Linked DNA regions of Diceros bicornis minor. The protein of the gene in region 2 interacts with the protein of the main gene of each other region in a biochemical or structural test. Links are inferred from orthologs where the notes say so. Each region holds a gene or a part of one and is shown on either strand. Other genes may lie near its edges.

Region 1 (8,045 bases), on a different chromosome or scaffold from region 2:
GAAATTCAGCCTCAGAGAAGGTAAGTGACTTGCACAGGCCATGCAGCAGCTGAGTGGAGACCCCAAATCCAGAACATCTGCTTATCACCCCAGGAGTCTTGCGCCAGGGCATGCCCTCACCTTCTGGTAACCGTGATTATCATCATATATATAAAATAATAACAACTGTAATAAGACCTCACACTTACTGAGCACTCAGTATGCATCTGGCATTGTTTCAGCACATTCCGTGTGTTTAGCTCATTTAATCCTCCCAGCATCCCCAAGATGGGAGTGCTGGGACTACTCCCACTTCACCTGAGAAGCCTGAGCTAGCCTGAGCCTGAGAGGTTAAGTAACAGCCCAAGCTTCCTCACCAATAAATGCCTGAGCCAGGACAGGCACTCTGGAAGTCCAACTCCACTGAACCCCTGTACTGAACCCCTGTTTAACCCATTAATTGCTTATAGTGAAGTAATGATGATTAATAAAAGGTGAAAGATGCTCGAAGAGCTTTGTTATCAAGCAACTTTCTCTCCAGAGAGTAGGGAATTTCGGGGGCAGCGGGCTTAGGGGAGAAACTATTTTATATTTTATATATCTCTGAACATCTGCCAAGTCATTGTTGGAAATATATTTTAGAGTAAGAACAGTAACCTTATCACCTGTAAAACATACAAGTCAGCCAAGCAAATTTTCACCACTAAATTCAAACTTATAAGAAAAAAAAAAAAAGCAAAGAGACTTGGGAAATCTACGAGGCTTTTGGAACTAATAAACTATGAGCAGCAGCCGACTGTGGCCCAAGCTTTCTGAAGTCCCCCGGCCCACCAGAGCACTGACGCCTTCCCTAGCCCCTGACCTCAGCCACACCGTCGGTGGCCGAGATCTGCCCTCATCTGGGCTAACAGTGAATCCCAGGCCACGTGTGCAGGGGTCACGGCCGGCATCCAGACCTTCACCGCAGGGGCAGCACAGACGCGTTGGCAGACCGCGGATCTCGCCCGCAGGGGGACACACCCCCATCGCCAGCCCCTCCAGGGAAGTCACCGACTCCTAGCTCCAGGCCCCCACAGCCGAGAACTGAAGAATCGGGTTCTAGGGGAACAGAGCAGCCCAAGGTCTGCAGTAACCTGGGAACTGCGACGGGGGAGAGAAGTAGATGTGGGTTTCTCGGCCGGGCGTGGCGAGTCCGCAGCCGTGGGATACAAGTGCCCTTTTTCATAATCAGCAAAGCCGGCGCCCCGCCTGCTCGGCTGGCAGGGATTCGGCGCAGACAGCCTGGAGTTCGAACGCTTAAAACTTGGCCATGCATCCCCACTGTCAACACCTTCTGCCTTCTCGCTGTAAAGAGTGCGTTCACTGCGAGTCCGAGGTGGCCAAATTGGGAAGAGGGACGGCCGCAGCGCCATCCTCCACGACGCCTCAGCCCACTCTCACCTGTTCCAGTGGCAGCCAGCCTCCGGTTGCGCTGTCTCCCACCGCCAGCGCCCAGGTGCCGGCTGTGCCAAGTCGTGGCTCGGCCCCTCTCCCCTCGGGTCTCCCCGCGTGGGGTCGGGGGGAGCTGTGCCGGGATTGCACCAGCGACAATCCAGGCGCGTGCGCGCCAAGGGGAAGCAGAGGCGAGATTCCCCGAGTGTTGTGCACCCCAAACCTGACGCCCGGAAGGCGGGAACTGCGCGATGCTGGGATCTCAGCCCGCCTTCCGGTAGTCCACTCCACAGTAAAATGGGCTGCACTGGGAGCTTCTGCGATTACATATCCGCGACCACCCGCTTCTCCTCCCGCTCCCTGTAGCCATAGCCACCATCCTCATCCTTGAACTCTTTGTCCAGTTTGGTGGTTATTCAAACCCCCACAGACCCGCGGAGAAAACTTGGGGTCACGTGGAAAGGAGGTTCAGCGCCTGCTTCTCCAGCGCGCGCTTTTGCAAAGCCTGGCTCCGGGCGCTTTAGAGACCGCGACGCCAAACGCGCTGGAGGAAGTCAGTGTCGCCTGAGTCCAGACACAGCGAGGCATTTTTGGTGCAAACCACAGAAGCTCATTTATAAGGGGCTGGAGGGGCCATGGAAGGAATAAGAAGGGCGATACAATGAGCGTTTAAAAGAATCTGGGATCTGTGGAAGGAGCAGCCGGGAAACCCGGATACCCCGGCTAGCCAAGTGGCGGCGCGCGGGCTGTAGGGTGTCCGCGCACGCTTCGGCCCTAGGAGGGACCGCACGTCGGAAAAAGACTGGGTAACAAGTTCTTTCGGCCTCCGCACGCTTTCAGACCCTGGTTGGAGCAGGGCACCGGGAGTGCGTCCCTAATCGCCAGACCGGCGCCGGTGAAGGGAAAGCGAGGAAGAAAAAACTCAGGCAGTTTGATGGCACCTGTCAGACCCGGGCACACGGGAGCTGCGGGCTCAGATGCCCCTCCCCCAGGCTCCACCACCTCCCTAGGACCCTCTACGTACACCCCGCGACCGCAGGGGGTGGTGGTCAAAGGTCGTCGCAGCCAGGCAGCGCGCACCCGGGCGAGTCCCAGTGCGCCCCCTCCCCAGGTCTTCAGTGTCGCAGAGGGTAGTGGGGTCTGCAGTGTGTAGGGAAAGCCCCGGAGAGCGGCTGGGTTAGGGCCGGGGGACAGGAGCACGCTTCTGCTCACCTCGCTCACTGGCCTGGATGTAGCGCACGATGTCGTCCAGGTCCAGGTCTTTGGTCTCATCGAAATTGTAGGCGGACGTGTGCAAGCCCTCCTCCTGGAAGACCTCGTGGACCCCTTCGATGGTGAAGTAGCAGTTCCGCTCCAGCTTGTCGTCGCTGTAGACCAGCGCGGCACGGCTCCACTGGTGATGGCGAAACAAGGCAAGCATCATCTCGCCCATCTTGTCGTACGCGGGCGCCACGCGCGTGAGGTGTGAGTATTCAGTGTCCTTGTGCTGGAAGCCGGCGGCCAGTGCCCCGGCCGACAGCATGGGCAAGTCCCAGTGCGATGCAAGCCGGGCCACGGGAGCCGCGGCGTACTCGCACACCGGCCCCAGGATAAGGTCCGGCTTGGCGCCCCGCGCCGCCGCCACGCGGTCCACCAGGCTGAAGAGCGCGCGGTTGCCGCAGGCTGAATCTTCGTAGGCCACCTGGAAGCGCGTGCCAGGTGGCAGAAGCCGCCACCCGGTCCCGTTGCCCTCCACGCTGCGCAGCGCGTATTCGATGGCCGGCCGCACCCGGGCCAGGGAGAACAGGTACGAATCGTCCTGGGGCAACAGCACCAGCACCTCGATCTTCTGCGGCGTCAGTACCTCTCTCTCCCGGCGCCCGCCGCCCGGGCCCGCGCCCCCGCCGCCACCGCCACCCGTGCCGCCGGCCAGCAACGCCCAGCTGAGCAGGACGCACGCGGAGAAAGTGAGCACCAGCAGGGACGGCATCGTGCCGCAGGAAAGCGCCTGCCCTGGCTGCCGGCTCGCCCTCTGCCCCCGACCCACCCTTCTTCTTTCCTCCCCACTCTTCTCTCCCAGGTCCCTGCGCCCCTTTGGGCGCTCTAAGAAAATAGAACACCCCCTTCACTAACTTGCCAAAAGATAGAGAGGAAGAGTCCTTCTTTGCAATCTCACTCGTTTAAAAAAAAAAAGAAAAAGAAGAAAAAGTTCACCGGGTGTAAACCTGTACGCCTGTAATATATTTATATATATATATACTTATTATAAATATATATATTCGCCCTCCTTATATATATACTATTTTGCTTAGAGGTGGCTTCCTATTTGGGCGTTGCAAAGATTGCTTTTGAAAGCATATTTGTAAAAGAAAAAAAAGTTAGACTTGTCCAAGTGCTTGTAATTGACGGTGCATCTCCCTCGCGTTTGATCTCATTGATTCGTGCCGGTTCCTGGATCCATAGCCCGCGTTTAAATAGCGTGGCAGCGGCTGAGCGTGTTACCACACATGGCGCGCCGAGGCCGGGGTTGTATTTCCAGCGGGTAGGGTGGGTGGGGGTGGGGAGTGGTGGGGGCTGGGCTGGGGGAGCCTCTCATTAACATTCTTACATCAGGGCTCCTCCCCGCACTCCTACCGGTCCCACCCCTCCCCTGTCCCTAACCCCCTCTCCCTGCCAGACCTCGGCCTTTTCCTTAAAGCCGCAGTCGCCCACTTCGGCACGGCCGGGAGCCCCCACCGCACCCCACCGCCTCCGGGGTCCTCGCCTCTCCCCGGCCCCGCACGCGGCAGCCCTCTCTCCAGTTCCGTGCTTTAAAAAAGGAAATGTTTGAAAGTAAAGAAACGCGCTCAGGCACACACACACCGTGCAAAAAAACCAACAGGATTAGAGACAGGAGGTGGTCCTAGAAATTGGTAGTTTCTTTGCAAAAATCCGTAGGTCCTACTCTCTCTCACCTCTTTCTCCCTCTGGCCACATTCCCTCCGGACGCGCCATCTCTGGGCAGGCACCCGACCTTCCTCGGTCCCCTGGCGCAAGGTCAAGGAACAGGGACCAAGGTCCCAGGCAGACGGCTAGACCACGGACCTGGAACGCCCAGTTTGCCGAGGCTTTACTGGCACCCCTCCTTCTCCCGCCCTCCTCAGTCCCGCGCCGGCGTCCTCCCCCCGGGCCGAGTGGGTTCGCGCTGGAGTCCCAGCGTTGCGGGGACTCCAGAGTCCCCGCGCACAGACATTCCGCCGGCGCATTGCAAGCAGAAAAGCGAAACTTGTTGCTCCCAAAGGCGAGCGAACGGTTCGGCTTCTGGAGGTGGCAAAAAGCTTGAAAAGCATCTCCAAGCCGTCCTCTGGGCTTTGCTTGCTAAACCAGGTAACTAAATAAAGAGACTTTCTCCCTAAATGGTTAGCCCAAGGGTCCCCTGGATGCAGGCGCACGCTCCGCTGCAACCCCGGCGCTTGGAAATCCAACTGCTTCTCCTCGCGGGCGCGCGAGACGCTATGCTCGGGGTTCTGCAGTGCCGAGAAAGGTCCTGCGTCCGAGACCCCGTCCTGCCTCTGGTCACAGCCACAACAGCAGTGGAGACAAGGATGGAAACGGCCGTGGGGATGTTCGTGGCCAGAGGAGCCTCGCTGGAGTCCGCGCGCTTCAGGGCAGGTCCAAATGGAACTTGACCCTCTGAACGTGGTAACACACCGAGGTCATTTGCAGTGTGAACGTGGTATATTGGACGGGAGAATTCTGACACTTAAGTCCCGCAAATTAAAATAAATTGAAAATGTTTTTAAAAGGTCTTTCATTTGACTGGGCGTCCCTGTCCGCAAATTTCTGTTAGTCTTAGACCAACGCCCTCTTTCGGCAGAAACTTGCAGCCGACTTGTATCCCTGATGCCACCTCCCCAGGCGCTGCGTTTGTGGGTTTTGTTTTTGTTTTCGTGTTTTTTTAAGCCGAGGCCTCAAAGAGCAATCCCTCTCATTTGTGACGGTGAAAAGGCAAATTGGAGTTTCCAGAGATGTGGCAACTTCAGGCATCAGCGTTGGTCGCCGTTAACGGCACCCTCCTTATCGCTCTTTCTGGCACGGTTAATGTAATTATGGGTAACGTTTCATCGTCTGGGTCATTTAGATTTCAGATTATGCAATGCGATCCCTGAATCTTCAGGTAGGACAGTCTAACTCCTGTGAGAACTTTCATTTATTTAATTTAGAGCTGCTAATCAGTAGCAAAAGAGGCATCTGTATAAAATTTAATTCCACAGAGAGGGTAATCTGCACACACTGGAATTTGAGACAGAGCTTCATAGCAATTAAATCCTCCCTAAATTCCTGGGAGGAATGAAGGAAGGGAGGGAAGAGGAGAGGAAGGAAGGAAGGGAGGGAGGGAGGAAGAAGGAAGGAAGGAGGGAGGGAAGGAAGGAAGGAAGGAAGGAAGGAAGGAAGGAAGGAAGGAAGGAAGGAAGGAAGGAAGGAGAAGGAAAGAACAGCTAAATCTCGACTTCCAAGGGTCTTAATGGATTTCAAAACTAGTTGCCAGGAGACGTGAAGGAACCAGGGTCTCCTATTACTACTCGCTATGCCCTGTGTCTGGGGAACACCGGCCAATGGCGATATGATTCTGCACACTGCGTAGCGTGGGCTTATTCGGAGAGTCTGAGGTTTCAGTGGCACCAGGCATGAATGCCTCTCCCCTTCCAGGCGCTGCCCAGCCGCGCCGAGGGTCACCGGCAGGGCAGAGCGTTTACGTGTCAGTAAGTATCGCAGCCTCTCGGTGGCCTTTGGACCAGAGCTCTCAGCTTCCAGCTTGTCACTCAAGAGCACCGACGAACCAAGCTGTGGAAGGGAAGAACCCCCAAACTAGACAGCAGAACCAGAAAAGCCAGTGTTACAGGCTTTTGCAGATGCTCAAAGCTCACCTTAAATTTTTCCAATGAGCAGAAATTAGGATTTTTTTAATTGAGGTACGAAACTGATGTATAACCTTATATTAGTTTCAGGTATACAACATAATGATTGTATATTTGTATATATTGCGAAATGATCACCACAATAAGTCTAATATCTGTTACCTTACAGTTACAAAATTTTTTTTCCTGTGATGACAACTTTTAAGATCTACTCTCAGCAATTTTCAAATATGCAATACAGTATTATTAACTATAGTTACCATGCTGTACATTATCCCCATGACATTTATTTTATAGAAATTAAGTTTTATTTTTTGTTTTTCAAATGAAAATAAGCACAAGATTCTAGGAAGACCCACCAAGTAATATAAGTATATAGATTTTAGTGTTATGAGTTTGCTTCCCGTCAAATTAGATTTTTCCCAAGAAGTTGAAAGTTTGTGTAAATATTATGAATATCATGGAGTTCTCCAAACTTAGGACTAGAAATTATCTTAGAAGTCACCCAACCTGACACCCTTCATTTTCTACGTGAAGAATCTAGGCCAAAGGTTATAAATGGCGTATTTAAATACCTCTTCATCTCCTGAGAATATTTTTAAGTGGAATTGGATTAGAAATAAAGCATGTACCGCCTATTATACCATGTAAAAGAGGGCTGGGAACAAAGCTAATTTTCATTAAGAGATAAGATTCATTGTATCAAGATTTTATTTTATATGAAGCTGTTTTGAGGATATGCAGCACAGTAAGAAAATTACTAATAGATTATAATAGAATTTTTGCAGCGTTATAATCATAAAGATGAATCAAAGGGAGAAAGAAGAAAAAAAGGAAACAAATGGAAATAACATGCCTTAGATTCAATTTTAAATATTGTTCCTTTCGATTCTATAAAACACTGAAATGGAAAAAAGGGGGGGCACTTTTGAATGTTTTCAAAAGATTGCTAACCTTTTCACTGAGTGCATTCTTTCTGACTACAATTGCTGAATGAAAACAAAAGAAAGCTACAGGGAAATGTTGTAAAATAAAATAAAAATAGCCAAAAGAAGGGTAATGTTAGCCCTAAATGTGATGAAACTAATAGACTTTTTATAGCATTTAGAAATATTTTCATCGCTACCCACAAATCGTATTTTTTTTAACTTCAAGTTGCTAAAATAAGGTGGCAAGTTTTCTATCAAGTATTCAACGGTTTGTTTTCCAATTGTGGAATGAAACCGGTGTCTATATGTTATTCCTCTGCCACCAGGAAAGATGGCAATATATAGGGCACCTCAGCATGTGATTCTTTGAAATGTGTTAGAAATGCTATCAGAAGTTTTCTCCAGCAATTGTCGTGGTCCGTATGACCTTCTCCCTCAGAATCCTGGCAGCAGCCTCTAAAGTAAGAGCCCTTCCAGATTTTCAAAGAGAATCTCTTGTCCCTTGTTAAGCCAGCGCTGAAGTCACGTTGAAGAATACCCCTGTGAAGTCTGTAGCCCACAAAGAAAATACCTTCTGGGGACAGAATTGTTGAAAACACACTTCCCCCTAGAGGCAGAAAAGATGAAAGAATATTACACATGATTTAAGAACATTTGTGTAAATCAATGAGTGTTGAGATTTTATTTTTGACGTATAGTTGATGTTTTAGAGGGAACCATTCAAAACATGGGAGGAAAATCAATGAATGCCAAAACATCAAATTAAAACTTTGCCTCTAGGTCTTAGCTTTCTTTAGCAGGGACTCTGTTAATTGACCCCTTTTCTTCT
Region 2 (6,934 bases):
GCAGCTAACTCTCTCAAAATGTGTCAGAAAATTTTTAGTGTCCTCATTTTAAAAGTTGCTTCTAAAAATAAAAATAAAAACTGTAGCCAAAAGTACTAGCTGTGCAAAAATTGTCTATTGAGTACAAGCTACATTAGATATAACCAGAAAAAAAAAAAGATGTCTGTAAGTTTTCTTTTTAATAAATAAGTGCCTTGAATGTGAGCAAATCTGAATAAAAATAAGTGCCCTTTTGGTCTCCTGGGGCTTTTTCAGGATCTGTGATGAAGCTGGAGCGAGAGTCAGAGCAGGCAGAGAACTGCAGTGTGAGCCCCACCCCATCCCACCCCCGCAAAAAAAGGAGGAAAGAATGAGAGGAGGAAGAATCTGTCCAAGCCCACAGAATGTACAGCACCAAGAGTGAACCCCTATGTGAGGTATGGACTTTGGGTGATGACGATGTGTCAATGCAGGTTCATAGACTGTAACAAATGTGCCATCTAGTGGGGATGTTGATAGTGGGGGAGGTTGGGCATGTGTTGGGGGCAGGGAGTATATGAGAAATCTATGTACTTTCTGCTTAATTTTGCTATGAACCTAAAGCTTCTCCAAAAAATAAATTTTATTGTTTTTAAGAAGGAGGAAGAAAGAAACTGAACATTCTTCTCTGGGACAAAAGGTAAAATGAAAATCATGCTGAATTCTCTTTCCCGGGAAGCGAAACAAATCACTCCAACCCGAGCCTTCGGCTTCTGTCCGTGGTGCTGAAGTTTATTCATTTCTCAAATGGCTTCCAGTTAACGGGTGAGGGTCTGCCCTAAAATTTAATGCATAGGGTGGGAGAAGTGGGGAAGCCACAATTAAGCCACTTTACCTACATTTAGCATAAAATGTGAGAAATGTGGACAGAAGGCTGCAGCTTGAATAGGGTGCTCGTCACAACTCAGCTTGAGGGCAATGAGATGAGACAAAGTTGAGTGAGAGACCCCGGGGGATGAGGGTCTCTCGCAGTCTGCCCGGGGCCTGGCCCGCCTTGTCCTCCCTGGCCGTTATCTTCGGTACTACAAAGAGAACACAGACATGTTTGACTTGGTGACCTGGCTCTACTGGAAACATCAACTTCGTAGGACTGTGGTCACTTCCCATAGACCCCACTCCAGCCTGAAAACTCCCTGAGTTTCATGAACTGGTACACAAGTTGCTCATTAGGAGCTCAAAGGTCATCCCTGGTCAATTTCAATCCTTTGGGATCTGACAAATTTGGAATCTGGAGAGGAACATGAACTGCCAATCAGCAGTGCGAAGGCAACTTGCCCCATGAACATTTAAAGTGCCCAGTGCTCGTGGCATAACTTTTTTTCTTAGCATTTCCTCAGCAGCCTGTAGCTGAGGATGATGTCATTGTCCCAAGATTCATGGGGCACCCACCAAGTTGGCGCAGAAATTTCAAAGGGAGTAAGCTTCTATGCTGGTCCCTTCCGGCAGAAGGCGTCCCCTGGTGGTATACTTTGACAAGGTTTGAGCCTCAACAAAACCACAACTTCCTAACTTCCTTCCTCCCCATCCCATTTCCATCCCCGGCTCCTCTTACCCGGAAGCTGTTGCAGCCCAGTCCACTCTGGGCTCCAATCCTGTCCATCCTGCCCCCGAAGCAGCTGGACCTCCGCAGGCTCCGAGGGGCAGCGAGCAGTGCCCTCAGCTTGCTTTTCAGGAGGGCAGATCTATCAGAGGAGTCCCAGGGGCCCCGCCCGAGGGCACCCCCATCTCTCTGGGCTGGGTTGACCTCCCCGGTCCAGGGAGGCACCTCAGCAAGGGGGCTGAGAGCAGCCCCACCTTCCTCACTCTGCTCACTTAGTACTTGTGGGGGCATGACCTCATCTTCTAAGGGCATCTTGTCCTCCAAACGGTCCAGCAAATTCTTTACAAAAGGAAAACACAGGGAAAGGGAGAGGTCTCACCCACGGGCACAATGTCACAGAGCCCCCTGGTCCCAGAGTGTGCCCTCTTTCCCAGCCCTACCTTGAAATCCATCAGGTCTGCGTTGGACACAGAGCCATACACGGGGTTAGCTCTGGTTTGCCCCGGGAGCTGAAATGCCAGGAAGAGAAGGAAGCTTGTGGTGATGGTGGGGAAGGAGCCCATGCTGGTCACAGAGTGGTCTGGTGCTCGCCGCCTCTTCCCTCTCCTCCCTGGTTTCCCTCTCTCGGCCTTCGTCCGTCTCTGTCTCCCAGCTGCCCTGCGCCTCCTCTTTTTATAGGCCCCCGGCTCTCCGAGAACGCAAGAGGGATGGAACCCTCCCCATTCTGTCACTTGCAGCGATAAAGCAGCTGAGTGAGGAGCCAGCAGAAGATGCCCTTTTAAAGTTATCAGTCCAGCGGAGCTTGTCACAGCCCCTCCGCCTTGAGCAGCCCCAACAACCCCCGGGACCCTCGGCTGCAAGAGCCACATTCTTGTTGATTTGCCTCAAGAGGTTCCCACTTCAAAGGTGTGAGAAGAGCAAAAAAGAGTCCTTGGTTATCTCACAGCGATGCCTCGGGCTCCTTTCTCCTCGGCAACGGGACTCATGCCGGGAAGCAGAGGGTGACAGTTGGCGGGCACCCAGCTCCCCCGGTTGGTTTGTGGCTCAGCTGTCAGGGCCTCCAAATAAGGGCGGGAGAAGAGGAAATGGCAGGCAGCCGGCAGCTCGGGACAAATTAGTCCAGATGCTCTAGCCGGCCTCACACCTGACTCATCAGCGGCGAGGGCAGCCCTCTCGCTCCACCAGGGCTGGCCTTCTGGCAGTCACTCTCCGCAGTCAGGTGAAGAGGGCGTTATGTTTTAGAGTACTAAGTCAGCCGGGAACCAAATGTGATGAATGACCCAGGAATTTGGCTCCCAAATTTCAACACCAAGGAAAGTTTTGGGAACACAATCATTCCTCTGCAAAGCTCCTCCTCCTTCGACCCCTCCACGACCCCCCTCCAAGGTGCTGAGGGAGGTAGACACTGAGAGGATGCAGCATTTTCGTTTCTTCAACTTGCTGCTTATAGAAACTCAGACTCTTTGAGTATGAAGCTTGTAATTCCCCTGCCCTTTCCTGGAAAGCTCCCATGGCCAGTTGGCTGATGGAGTGAGGTGGGAGGCGAATGTAACACAGTTTCCCTTAACGCCTCCATTTTCCTGGCCCCCAAAAGAGAAATAACAGGCAGTGAGGCCACATTTAATGAGTGGCCTCCATTCGCTAAGCACATACTCAACCCTAGCATGCTACTCAACAGAGCGTATGCTGGGGGAAAACACTAAATTTGAAGGGATGAGAGACCTGCATTGTAGCCCAAAACAAACCAAGCTGCATATGTCTTTGGGCCTTATTTTCCTCATCTGTAAAATGAGGAAAGTGAAAAAACCTAAGGTTATCCTGAGGCTCAGAAGTAATGTGTGGATGCATTTTGAAGTGTGAAGTGCTGTGTAACTGCGAGATGGTAATCGCGCTTGCCTGTATTGGTCAGCTGTGACGTGCCAGACACTGAGCTGAGAGCTTCATGTGGTTACTTCATTTTTGTCACCACCCCCAGGAGCTGGTGGTCTTGTTGCCATTTACAGAGGGACAGGACTGAGACTGAGAGCTTTGTCACTTACCCAAGGTCACTCAGCTCATAAGCGGCAGAACCAGGACTTGCACCCAGGTATGACACCAATACACACAGTCCTCACCCATTTCACAGACACTGCTGCTGCGTAGCGCGATGGTCTCTTAACAAGCCCTCTGGCAGTCCCTGATTGAACACACCCCCATTCCCAGTCTCTCAGGGTGACTCTGAGCAGCTCCTTCTCCTGCCCCCTGCCTCGGGGCTGCAACTTCGTGTACTTGGCAGGTCTGTGTGCGTGTGGAACATCCATCTCCGCCCCTGCCAGACCCCTCCCTAGCTGAGCTGACTCCCTGGCTGATCAGGTGGAAAGGCTGTTATACGGCAAGAGGGCAGGAAACCAGGGCAGAACGTGGCCAGAGGTCACAAGAGGTGTCCAGGGCAATTTTATTCTAAGAAGGAGAAAGAAGCCCTCTTCAGTCACTGATTTGGGTCAGCCAAACTCAACTTGAAATCCAAGGTGGGTGCAATTCTGGGTAGCGCTCCCGGGGCAAAAAACCATCGTATCCTGACGAATCCCTGGAATGTGCTCACAGCTTAATTGCTCGGTTGGCAGGGTTATTATTAGCAAAGAGGATTCAGTGAGCAGCCACGCTGCGGGGAACCGATGCTCCTTGCTGCTTGCGTCACACAGCCTGTCTCCTGGAGATGCCCTTTGAGACTGGCCTTTGATGCAGGCGAAGACTTCCAGAAGGGTATCGTGGCGGGTGGCCCCTGCCTTGGCTTGGCCTCTGAGGGCCGATGCTGCTCCTCTGTCCTGAGCTACTTCTGAAGTCTGTAGGTGGCCTGAGGAGAAGCGGAAGTCCCGCCCCAGGTTCCAGAAAGGGACTTTCAGAATTTGCCCACCTCCTTTTATTAAAGTCACTTTTCCTCTTCTAGAGTGAAACCGGAGTGGGCCGTGAGTGTCATTTGTTGAGTTTCTTCTATTAGCTGGGGTTTTTTTCGTTTTCCGTTTTTTGTTTTGCAGAAGGGCGGTGACAAGAAAAAAGAACATTCAGGTTTGCTGCTGAGGACTTTGTGAAGAACCAGCACCACCTCCTGCACTAACTGGACCCAGTGAAAACACAGACAACCCCCAAATACACTTGTTACCCCAAATCCCAGTAAAGCCTTTGATTTGAGCCTGAAATGGAAAATGGCTTGATGTAAAGTTTCTCTTCATTTCCAAGCCCCTGCTCAACTTTGGGGTGTGTGTGTGGAGGAGTTAATATTTAAAGGGGTGTTTAGAAGCCAGCCTGTAGGAGTGAGAGAGAAGAAAAGCAAAAGACGCAGGAAGCCAGATCCGCCCCCACCCCCACCTCTCCCACCAGATGAAAAACCAAAAGCCTTTCTTTCCGTATCGCTGGGAAGAAGTCATCTTAGTCGTGTGATGGAATGAGCGTTGCAGATGGGTGGATGAATCCAGAACTGGGGTGTCTCCAGTTTCTAGCCCACTTTGGTTTCACAACCCTCCATGGGGATGCTGGGGGCTGCTTTGGGGAACCACAAGGTCCCAGCAATGTTGCACATGTGCAGAACTGGTGTGAAAAGCTCACCATGTTCATGGCACAATCTGTCACACCCAGATGGTCTAAAGCAGAAGCCCCAGTTGGGAGAAACTGGTAGGACACTGGTGTGTACTTAGGGACTGTTGTTTCTGACTTTGAAAATGATGTTGTGTTTCTTTGGTACAATATGGAGATCACTGGACTGGAAGTCAGGGGCTGGTTCCCTAGAAAAAAAGCCTGAGGAAAAGTCAAGTTGCTAAAGCTTTATGGGGGCTCCAGTTCAAGGGAAGCAAGAGTGATGGAAAAAGGAAGTGAGATAGTGTATTAGTTAACTATTGCTGCATAACAAGTTGCCCCAAACCTCAGCAACTTAAAACAACACACATCTATTATCTAGTAGTTTCTGTGACCAGGAATCTGGCCCTGCTTGGCCGGGTGCCCCTTGCTCAGGGCTCTCAGAGGCTGCCATTCAGGTGTTGTCTGGGGCTGCGGTCATCTCAAGGCTTAGCTGGGGGATCTGCTTTCAAGCTCACTCCTGTGTCCGTTGACAAGCCTTGGGTCCTCGCTGACTGTTGGCTGGAGATGTCAGTTCCTTTCCACAAGGGCCTCTCCATAGAGATGCAACTGACTTCCTTTAGGTAGAGAGAGAGAGAGAGATTATGTAAACCACAGTCTCTTTGGAGCCTCATCTTGGAAGTGGTATCCCCTCATTTTTGTTGTACTGTGTTCATTAGAAGTGAGTCACTGGATCCAGCCCACACCCAGAGGGTGGAGATTACCCAAGGGCATGAATACCAGGAGATGGGGATTATCAGGGGCCATCTGAGAGGCTGCCCACCACAGGTGGGGAAAGAGGAGAGCTGATACAAAGTGATACGTTACCAAGCCGGCCACAGCTTTGCAAAAACACCTTAGTGGTTGGTTGGTCACGCTGCACATCTCCAGAGAGCTTCCTGGAACCTGGCACCCTGGAACAGCCTGTGAGGAGAGAAAAAGATGAGGGAACTGCCTTAGATCTCTAGGGATGCTGTAACAAAGTACCACAAACTGGAGGGCTTAAAACAACAGAGATGTATCGTTTCACAGTTCTGGAGGCTGGAAGTCTGAAATCAAGGTGTCACAAGGCCATGCTCCCTCTGAAATCTGTGAGGGAGAATCCTCGCTTGCCTCCTCCAGCTTCCGGTAGCCGCCGGCGGTCCTTGGCATCCCCCGACTGGCAGAGGCATCACTCCAACCTCTGCCTCTGTCGTCACCTGGCTGTCTTTCCACTCTGTGTTTCTTTCTCCTCTTCTTATAAGGACACCAGTCATATTGGATTAGGGGCTAACTCTACTCCGGGATGACCTCATCTTAAATAATCACATCTATAATGACCCTGTTTCCAAATAAGGTCACATTCTGAGGCTCTGGATGTTTAGGACTTCAACACGTCTTTTAGGGGAACATAACTGAACTTGTAACAAGCGCTGCATCTGTAGGCTCCTTTTCACCGCTTGTCTCTCACTAGTCAAAGCGTCGCTTTCACCCTCACCCCACTCCTACCAGGGCCGTGAGCTCCCCTGCACTTCTGGGCTGTGCTACCCAGTTCCTTCAGGCAGTGGCCGAGGAAACTGGAGACTGCTGTCCAGTGCACCCATGAAACCCGTGCATTGGCTTCGCAATCTCTCCTGGCCAGTCGATCCTGCTTGGCGAGGGGAGGGGGAGAGTCAGGGGTGGGGGGTGGTATATGGAGGTGGAGACGGGGCCAGATAGCAGCCATGAGAACCAGGTCAGCCATTGTTAAGGCCGCATTTTCCAGGAAGCCAGAGGTGCAGGCCAAGCAGGTATGAGGCACCCCAGCAT

What was found. The genes of interacting proteins can lie anywhere in the genome.
Region 1: the proteins of NPPA (region 2) and NPR3 form a complex in vitro, tested with the Homo sapiens proteins (4 studies listed by BioGRID, with this or other methods). The link is inferred for Diceros bicornis minor from reciprocal best matches to the Homo sapiens genes NPPA and NPR3.

Annotation. Positions count from the first base shown.
Region 1 is NC_080759.1:35,664,505-35,672,549, forward strand, and holds the start of NPR3 (atrial natriuretic peptide receptor 3), read right to left. Parts: upstream 3,386-8,045; 5' UTR 3,380-3,385; coding exon 2,623-3,379; intron 1-2,622. UniProt on the Homo sapiens protein: Receptor for the natriuretic peptide hormones, binding with similar affinities atrial natriuretic peptide NPPA/ANP, brain natriuretic peptide NPPB/BNP, and C-type natriuretic peptide NPPC/CNP.
Region 2 is NC_080752.1:30,966,069-30,973,002, forward strand, and holds NPPA (natriuretic peptides A), read right to left. Parts: upstream 2,125-6,934; 5' UTR 2,122-2,124; coding exon 1,999-2,121; intron 1,898-1,998; coding exon 1,571-1,897; intron 1,041-1,570; coding exon 1,029-1,040; downstream 1-1,028.